Coturnix japonica: one gene and its partner. Each later gene encodes a partner of the first gene's protein in a complex. Links are inferred from orthologs where the notes say so. Each region holds a gene or a part of one and is shown on either strand. Other genes may lie near its edges.

Region 1 (4,429 bases):
AAACACAAAGCGAGTCTCAATAGAGCACACACTTGTTCTGGAACAGGGGGTACAGAAAGGCACAGATACACCCATACAGCCCTACATTGGTTTAAAAAACCTTTTGGAGGGACACACTCAGTACCTCCCAAAGAAGCAGAAAGAGCAGCTGGAGTTACACTTGGAATTCCCTCAGTTGAAGAGAGAAGCGGCAGATTTGAGAAAGGAGATGGGTTTGCTTCTGGGAAATCAGGATCGCTTCAGGATTTTACTTACTTCCCATAAGGTCCCAAGTCCGCCATGATGTACATCGTCTGAACAGGAGTGTTAATCACGTGATTGTTCTTTATGAACTCTTCCGAGGGCTCCCAGGTGATGATTTTTGACTTGAGAGAACTCCCATCTCTGCCAGTCACAGAACAGCACAACTCACGGTCAGCAGAACTCGCACCAGCAGCCGGGCACAGACCCACCAAACAAGAGTCAAACTGCCAGACCTGAGTCCAGCACAGCTCAAGCCAACAGCTCCCACAGAACAGGCTGCCCTGCAGCACGGACACCACGACACCCACATCAGCCAGTTCTGAGCCTCAGTCTGAACTCACAGCGGTTTACGGTCCTGTCTTCTCCTCCTCACATTGGCCATCCTCTCCGCCAGGTACGAGGGCACCTCACAGTCTGAGTCAGTCACCTTCTGGCCGTGCTGGAACAGAGACACAGAACAGAACTCGCTTCATGACAACAGGACTTTTCTCTCAAATGCAATTCTGCCCCTGGAAGCCAGAATAAGTATTTGTACATGCAAGTATAAGGGATATTTATTCACAGCCATGTGCCAGCTGTGAACTTCACTAACAACACAACCCTGCCGAGCCAAGTGCCTCCATCCCAGCTGCTCCTGCCCGTCGCTCTGCAGTACGGAGCCGTCGTTCTGTAGCACACAGTGCAGAGCAGCGCCGGGCACGCTGCACCACGGCCACAAAACAACGAACGTGCCCCGTGCTGGTCCCGGTGCTGCCGACAGACGGACGCTGCTCTGTGCAGAACCACGGGCCGGTACCTCCTCCATGTTGGTGAACCGGTCGTGATCGGTGTAGGTGAAGATGCGGCGGTTCTTGCGCCCTCCGGCTCTGTCCAGCTTCAGGATCTCCTCGTGGTACTGCCGGTCCAGCGGAGTCTGGCAGGCTGACTCGTGTCGGTACAGATCCACCTCGAACTGAACGTCACGGGCACAGTTAAAAGCCGCGTTGATTCACCACGGCCGGGCCACAGAAGTTCCCGGCCCGGTGAGCGGCGGGGACACGGACACGGAACGGACACGGACCCGGACACGGACATGGACACGGACCCGGACACGGACACGGACACGGACACGGACACGGACACGGAACGGACACGGCGCTGCCCGGCGGCGGTTCGCACCTGGCTGAAGAGCTTCTGCTGCCATCCCAGCTCGGCGCTCTCCTCCTCGGCCGGGGGTCGCCCCGCAGCCCCGTGCCCGGTTCGGGCGCTCAGCCCCAGCCCCTCGGGGCCGCCGCTCGGGGACAGCGCGGCCTGCGGCGGGACGGGCCCGGCGGCCGATACCCGCTGGATGTGGACCCTGCGGGGAAGGACGGAGACATCGTGAGAGCGAGCGCGGACGGAGCCGCAGCCGGGGCCGTGCGTGCCGGGCGCTCACCGCAGCCGCAGGTTGCGCACCGGGTCCCGGGAGCGGTACACGCCGCCGCCCGCCTCCGCGCTCCACAGCGGCGCCGCCATCCCGTCACCAGGGACGCGGGGCGGCGGCAGCGCCCCCTGGCGGCAGCGGGGAGCAGAGCGCGGCCGGGAGCGGAGCCGGGTAACGAGCGGAGCGGAACCGAGTGCGGTACCGGACGGGGGCGATGGGCGGCGGGAAAGGAGAGGGGAGCAGCGGCAGCAGAACGTCTTAACGCAGCCGCCTTAACGAAGCCGAGCAGCGATGTTCTGAACGGGAAAAGAGACGTTATCTCAAGTCCGACCAGTTCAGCCGTGGTGCTCTGAGCTGCTCTGCACGGTCACACACTCTTCAGAAGTTCCCACACGTTTCAATGATGTGCCCGCCTGGCAATGCATGGCCGCATCCAGCCAAACCTCAGCGACCCCCACAGCTTCGTGTTCCTGCGCTGTGACCCCTCAGAGCCGCCCTGAGCCCCCTCCACGTTGTGGGCCCTCGGTTCAGCTCTGCCCGGATACACACAACAACCACGTGCTGAGCGGCCCCGGACTGGGGCAGAACACACAGCAAGTGCTGCTGTGAAACACACGTGACGGTCGCACAGAGGGAGCTGCACCTTTGGCTTAGATTTATACGCTCCATTTAATAAACCGGAAAATAAGAATCATTTTTTGCAATGCACAGAGATGAATCAAAGGCTGCCACAAAGATACCTGTGGGCACGTGGTGTTAATTAACCTCGGTGTGGGCTCTCTCCCATAAGGAAAGGCTGAGGTGGAAACCCAGGGCCCGTGCAGTGCAGTCAGGGTGCCCAGGGCAGCTCCCCCTGCGGCTCTTTGTGTCTGCCCTGAGCTGTGCCCCGACATGGGCTGCACACAGGGCCGCTCCCCCGGCATCGCAGCGGGACTTGTGGCTTTAACACACACCAGACGTTCTGCTACAGGACTGTGGCTGTGTGTGACCACCAGATCCAGGGGCAGCTCACAGGGATGCAGCCCAGAGGAGCCCAGCTGTCCATGGCGGGGCCCTGCAGCCTCCAGCCCAACCAGCCACCAGGGAACAGACCCCGTGCAAAGCAAAGTCCCGGTGCCCGGCCCACACCGTGCTGAGCACCGGGCCCGAGAGCTGGCACCGAGCTCAGGCCTGGAGCAGGAAACTCCAGCCCGGCTCAGCCCGGTGCTGCCCAGCGCCTGCTCTGAGCTCCTGCCCCAGCTGCTGTAGCCCACGCACCTGCAGTCACTGAGCACTGTATTTCAAATAGTTTAATTTTAAAAATATTCTATTCAGTGCTAAAATATCTTTCCACTTCCACGCGCAGCCGCACCTTCAGCTTCGCCAGGCTCGATCACAGACGGCAGGACATGCAGTGGCGGTGGGGGGGGGCCCAGCGGGGTGGGGAGCGTGGGAATGGGGGCATGGGAGGGCTCCATGGGGCTCCTGCACCCTGTGTCCTGTCCAGGGGACGGGATGTACCTGGGGAGCGGGGCGGGCAGGAGGAGCAGGGTGCAGGTCCAGCTGGGACACGGCAGTGCCGGCTGCCCCGCTCCATCCCAGCCCCTGCCTGTCTGGGGCGGACAGAGGCTTCTGTGAGGGCCTGGAGGCAGAGGAGCAGCAGGCAGGGCCGATGTGTCCAGTACCTGCCCTCCGAAATGGCAGCACTCCTCCCTCTTCCAATACTAATGGCTTAGTAGCAGCTTATTGCACAGTGTCCCAGCGGCACGGAGGGCCGTTGTTTCCATTCTCAGGGCGCTCCCCCCCCTCCCTCCTCTGCCCTTTGGACCTACACCAGGAACGCCCCAGACTGTGGTCACAAGGGAGCGGACACATCACTTTCTGCAGGTGGGACATGGCTCTTCTGTTCCCAGCACAGGGGACAGGGCAGACAGTGGATCCAGAAGCAGGCAAACAGCATCTGCCGGTGCGTTAGGGGTGACAGAGAACAGGGCATCCCAAGGATCCCTCCCCCCACGCATGCAGACCACGCACCAGAAACCCCATGCCACTACAGCACAGATCAGCAGGGAGGGTGGGAGCCAATAAATAGAGGCAAATTTGCAGGTACTGGTGGCAGCCCCATTCAGCTGGGCAAATCACTTGCAGGCTGCCTCTGCAGGGGCTGGTGGGAGGCTCCTGCCCCCGAGGGCAGGGCAGGCTGGATGGCGAGGCAGCAGGGGTGCCCTGTCCCTCGGGAAGGGCAGGACAAGGGAAGCACCCCATTCCCCAGGGAAGGGCAGGCAGCTCTGCGAGGGTCTGGCGAAGGCTCTCCCCGGGGATGGGCAGGCTAGCTCTCCGAGGCTGTGTGGCACACAGAGTTCTGATCAGCACAAAATCTCTTCAGAGGCGGTGCGCCAGAGTCCTCCTCCTCTTCAGTTACCTGCAAGAGCCAGAGGTCACCAGCAGTGACAAGAGCTCAGCGTGCCCACAAGGCCGTGTGGAGCTGCTGGACAAGGCTGTGTCTCGCCCTGTGGGGACACCCTGGGCTCTCCTCTGTGAGTCAGGCTGCTAAATGAAACCTGGGCACCAAGAGAGGGAATCCAGCCCAGCTCTGGACTCAGCTATAACCAGTTTCTTAATCCATCTCCATGTATTTTCTACACACAATATATACCCTAAAACCAAACTGAACCACAGTACCACTCAGGAAGCCAGTTGGTCTGGGTAGCTCCTGAGGGCAATTTGGGACTTTCTGATGTCTATGCTATAATAAGAAATCAAAGAAAAGTGCCCTAGGGACAGGACTAAGATGGGTGAATACGC
Region 2 (4,200 bases), on another chromosome or scaffold:
GGCAAACCAAGGAGCCCCAAAGCACCAGCCAGCCCCCAGGGATGCCAGCTGGGTGGCATTACCTTCAGAACTGTTGCTGGACAGGAGAAAAACCCAGCTCCACAGGTCTTTGTTAGGCTACAATCACACAATGAATTCCATCAAGTACCATCAGGTGAGCACTGGGGGGAAGCATTTGGTGGGTGAGTTCTGTTTTTGTTGGCTTTTTTTTTTACGTAACAACACAAATTTATAGTTTCTTTCCAATTAGTGTGGGGGGGAAAAGTGCAGAGAGGAACCTCTATTAAGCACCCGGCGAGGCGCTGCCCCCCTCTGCCCGCAGTGACTTAGGTTTGTTTGTCTTTCTGATAGGTTGGAAGTTGTGTAATAAACTTGATGACGTTGTCAGTCTTTTATATGGAGCTTTTCAAGAGATTCTGGTGGGGATGTTCAGGGGATGAAGGTGTGGATGGGCAGCAAGAGCCAAGCACTTCTGTAACGCCCCCCCACCCCCAATCTTCCAGCTCTTCCTAAGGGCTGCTGTGCCTCCCATGCTGGCTCAGGGGCTGGCTGTGGTAATGAGGTGCTCTGGCCTGGGGGGATGCCACGTGCCCAGGCACCAGATAAAAATAACTATTTATTGGAAAATAGTGATTTCTTCTTACAACGCTGTAAAAAAAACAAATTGTCTGTACCTTGGACTGACCTGTGTGTCACAAACCTCGGGGCTGGGTGGCAGCAGGGTGGGTGCTACCCAGGCACAGCCCTGGCACTGCCCACAGGTGCCAGTGTGGGTCTGGCTCACCACCACAGGCTGGAGATGGAGCCTGTGCCACCTGCTTGCTGCCATCTCGTGTACCTGCGCTGCTGTGGTCCTCTGGTGCAGGGCCTCAGTATGCATCCATGCTGCAAAGAACAGAGGAGAGGATGTGTGAGGAGAGGCTCAACCAGCAGAAGGCTGTGCTGCTTCTCAGTGAGACCTGGGCAGGCTGAGATTTGGGTGGGGGATGAACTTGATGAGGTTCAACAAGGCGCAGCGTCCTACACCTGGGGAGGAGTAACTGCATACATCAGTGCAGGTTAAGGGCTGAGCTGACAGAAAGGGGATCTGCAGAGGATTTGGGTGTCCTGGTGGATTATGGGTTGGCCATGAACCAGCCTTTGTGGCCAAGAATGCCAACAGGTGTCCTGGTTGACCAATGGTTGTCCATATGCTAGCAGTGTTCTTACAGCCAAGAAGCCCAACAGGACCATGGGGTGCATTGTGCAGAGTGTGGCCAGCAGGGCAACAGAGGTTCTCCTTATTCTCTGCTCTGCCACATCTGGAGCGCTGGGACCAGTTCTGGTTTCCTTGGCTCTGGGTAAATAGGAACCTGCTGGAGTGCTGCAGAGATGGTTGAAGCTTGGAGCACTTCCCTTACAAGGAAAGGCTGACAGCTCTGAGCCTGTTCTGCCTGGAGAAGACAAGGCTGAGAGGGGATCTGATCTGAAGTGTAGGGGTCAAGAGGGTGGGGGCACGCTCTTTTTAGAGGTGCCTGGTGGTAGTAACAAGAAGGGGCAGTAGGGAACCAACAATAGGAAACACAAGGAAAAACTTCTTGACTTTGAGGGTAATAGAGCACTGGAAGGAGCTTGCCCAGAGAGGTGGTGGGGCCACCCGGGTGCTCTCCTTTGTAATGCCCTCTAGCAAACCTTCTTTAGCAGGGGGTTGGACAGGAGAACCCCCAGAGCTCCCTCTGCTCCCACGCCACCTACCTAGAGAAGGAGGCGAGCGCCAGGCCGCCCAGCAGCAGCTCCATAGAGTAGAAGAGCAGGAGGATGGCACTGAGGATGGCCTCCAGGCGCAGGGCATAGGTCTGCAGCAGCAGGCAGTAGATCGCCATGATGGCTGCTGGCACAGTCAGGGCCAGGCAGACGGCCAGAGGCCCCTTGCGCTGGCACAGGTTGCCCTTGGAACCTGCGGGGCACAGGGTGAGCAGTGCAAGGCTGCACCACACAGTGTGACACCGGGAAACGGGGTGCGGGATAGAGGGACAAGGCCTCACCAAAGAAGATGCGCGTGGCCTCAATGCTGAGGTAGAGCAGCAGCAGCAGCACGTCCAGCAGCAGGTTGGTGAGCGGGTACGGCAGCAGCAGCACTGCGGGCACGGCCACGCTCAGCGCTGGGGGCGGGGGGCGGAGGAGCGGGAGGGCGGGGGCTCACCCTTGTAGGCGAAGATGAAGGCCTCCAGAACGAAGTAGGTCGCGCTGTACCAGCCGTTGAGGAAGAGCAGGACCTGCAGCGGAGCCGAGGAGCGCTGGCGGCCTGTGGGGGTCGCGGGATGGGATGGGATGGGATGGGCGAGGCCCCGCCGCCCGCCTCACGTTCCGCCCCCGGCCCCGCCGCCCCCCGCTCCCGGCCCCGCACTCACTCCGCGCCGCCATCTTCCATCTCCATGGGAACCGCGGCTGCAGGAGGGAAAGCGCTCGGCCGCTCTATCCCGCCCTCTCTATGGCCCTGGAGGACCGAGCCGCGGGTTCGAATCCCCCATTCCGCCCCTCGCTGTGCCTGCGGACCCCCGGGGGGGGCAACCCAATGGGAACAGCCCTGAGTAGTGGGACACCGAGAAGCTGCGTGATAAAAGAGGAGAGAGCCAGCACACACGGACTGGAAAATACAGACAATTTATTTCCTCACTACTCACAAAAACGCCCCAATCCCACCAGGGGCTGTGAGCTGTGAGCACCCTGCCAGCTCCCAGGGCACCACCAGGAAGAGGAGGAACACAGCTGGGCTGGAGCTGGGGGGGCTGAGACCTTCCATCCCCTGGCTATGAGGAGCTGCCCCTCCTGCAGTGGGGGCCATCAACCACGGAAGTGAGCAAACTCCTTGCGTAGCCAGAGCGAGTCCTGGTAGAAGAGCGGGTCACCCAGGTGCACTGCAGTCCTCTTGTAGAAGTAGCAGTAGAGCACGGCCGCTGCAGGAGGGAGGGAGATGAGGGCACAGGGACTAAGCTGGGGTGTCCCCCAGGCAGGTTCCTGCTGCCTCAGTAAGCACGAGCCCTTACCCAGCCGCTGGAAAACAAACAGTGTCTGCAGGCCTTCGGTCCAGATGAAGCGGCTGGAATCCCTCCAGCGCAGGTTCTGACACAGACGGAAACAAGGAAGAACCCATGGGCTTCACTGAACCCATGGGATCACTGATGATCCCGATGGGACGGAGCTGGCCCCACAAGGGCTGTCGTGCTCTTGGTGGCAGCTCCAAAGATTAAGCAGCTCAGGGGATTTGGCCAGCGAGTCAGGACCTATTCTAGCTTCAGACTTTAGATCCCTGCAAATCCCCATCAATCTCCTGCCCAGACGCTGTGGGTACAACATCCCTGGGTCAGCTTCAGTCACAGACCTGGCCCAGGGGCAGCAGGATGGGCCTTTCTCCTGTTGAAAAGCATACAGGAAGCACCTGCTGGCTGCTTTGCTTGTCAAATGGTGACTGTGGCACAGGATGGGGGGAGCTGAGATGGGGAAGAGGGGGTACAAAGCTGCTTGGACACAGCAGGGACCCTTGGGACTTGTTTTTCAGCAGGGTTTCAGCACTCCAGCCTCTGAGCGCTGGTGATTGCTGGGGATTAATCCCAGGTAAACAAAGCAGGATCTGCTGTCATGGCCTTCACTGGGGACCACTCTGCTGTGGTGGGTTTCTGTGCAAGGTTTTCTGTGTGGGTTTTCAAGCAGGTTGCAGTGCTGAGGCTGGGGGCTGGGATGAGGCAGCCCGATAGCTACAAGTAGGAGATTATGGCCTTCCTCCCACAGCACAGAGGGACAGAAGGGAGAAAGGAGCTGCGAAGCCAGCAGCCTCAAACCTACCATGATCCAGATGTGGAAGGAGATGCTGAGTGCCAGGTACGCTGCCGACAGAAGGATGGTGCCCTTGAACTTGTGGAAGAGGAGGTTGACCAGTCCAGCTTGGAAGACAAAGGTATTGAAGAACATGAGGAAAATGATGATGACATTGAAGAGAATGGCAATGTCCTGGATGCTGTGGGAGAAGAGAGACGCAGTGAGAGAGAGGAGAGAGCGGTATGGGAGAGCCCAGCCCTCCTGCCCTGCTGCTCACATGAAGAGGACAAGCTGGACAGCGGGGGCCGTGCGAAGCAGCTCCGAGAAGGAATTGACAAACAGGTCATAGAAGAGCAGCAGAAACTGCAGGAACAGCACCAAGCTGTAGTTGCTGGTCTGGAGCAT

The links.
Region 2: MKS1 (region 1) and TMEM216 share a complex: the UniProt entries of both Homo sapiens proteins name them as parts of the tectonic-like complex. The link is inferred for Coturnix japonica from reciprocal best matches to the Homo sapiens genes MKS1 and TMEM216.

What each region holds. Positions count from the first base shown.
Region 1 is NC_029534.1:119,462-123,890, forward strand, and holds the start of MKS1 (Meckel syndrome type 1 protein), read right to left. Parts: upstream 2,801-4,429; 5' UTR 1,738-2,800; coding exon 1,658-1,737; intron 1,580-1,657; coding exon 1,402-1,579; intron 1,196-1,401; coding exon 1,040-1,195; intron 683-1,039; coding exon 585-682; intron 385-584; coding exon 256-384; intron 1-255. Other genes in the region: BCL7B (B-cell CLL/lymphoma 7 protein family member B), read right to left, coding at 3,954-4,046. UniProt on the Homo sapiens protein: Component of the tectonic-like complex, a complex localized at the transition zone of primary cilia and acting as a barrier that prevents diffusion of transmembrane proteins between the cilia and plasma membranes.
Region 2 is NC_029520.1:292,393-296,592, reverse strand, and holds TMEM216 (transmembrane protein 216), read right to left. Parts: upstream 2,517-4,200; 5' UTR 2,404-2,516; coding exon 2,391-2,403; intron 2,285-2,390; coding exon 2,183-2,284; intron 2,118-2,182; coding exon 2,025-2,117; intron 1,937-2,024; coding exon 1,735-1,936; intron 886-1,734; coding exon 870-885; 3' UTR 599-869; downstream 1-598. Other genes in the region: TMEM138 (transmembrane protein 138), read right to left, coding at 2,824-2,936, 3,027-3,102, 3,823-3,994, 4,073-4,200. UniProt on the Homo sapiens protein: Part of the tectonic-like complex which is required for tissue-specific ciliogenesis and may regulate ciliary membrane composition.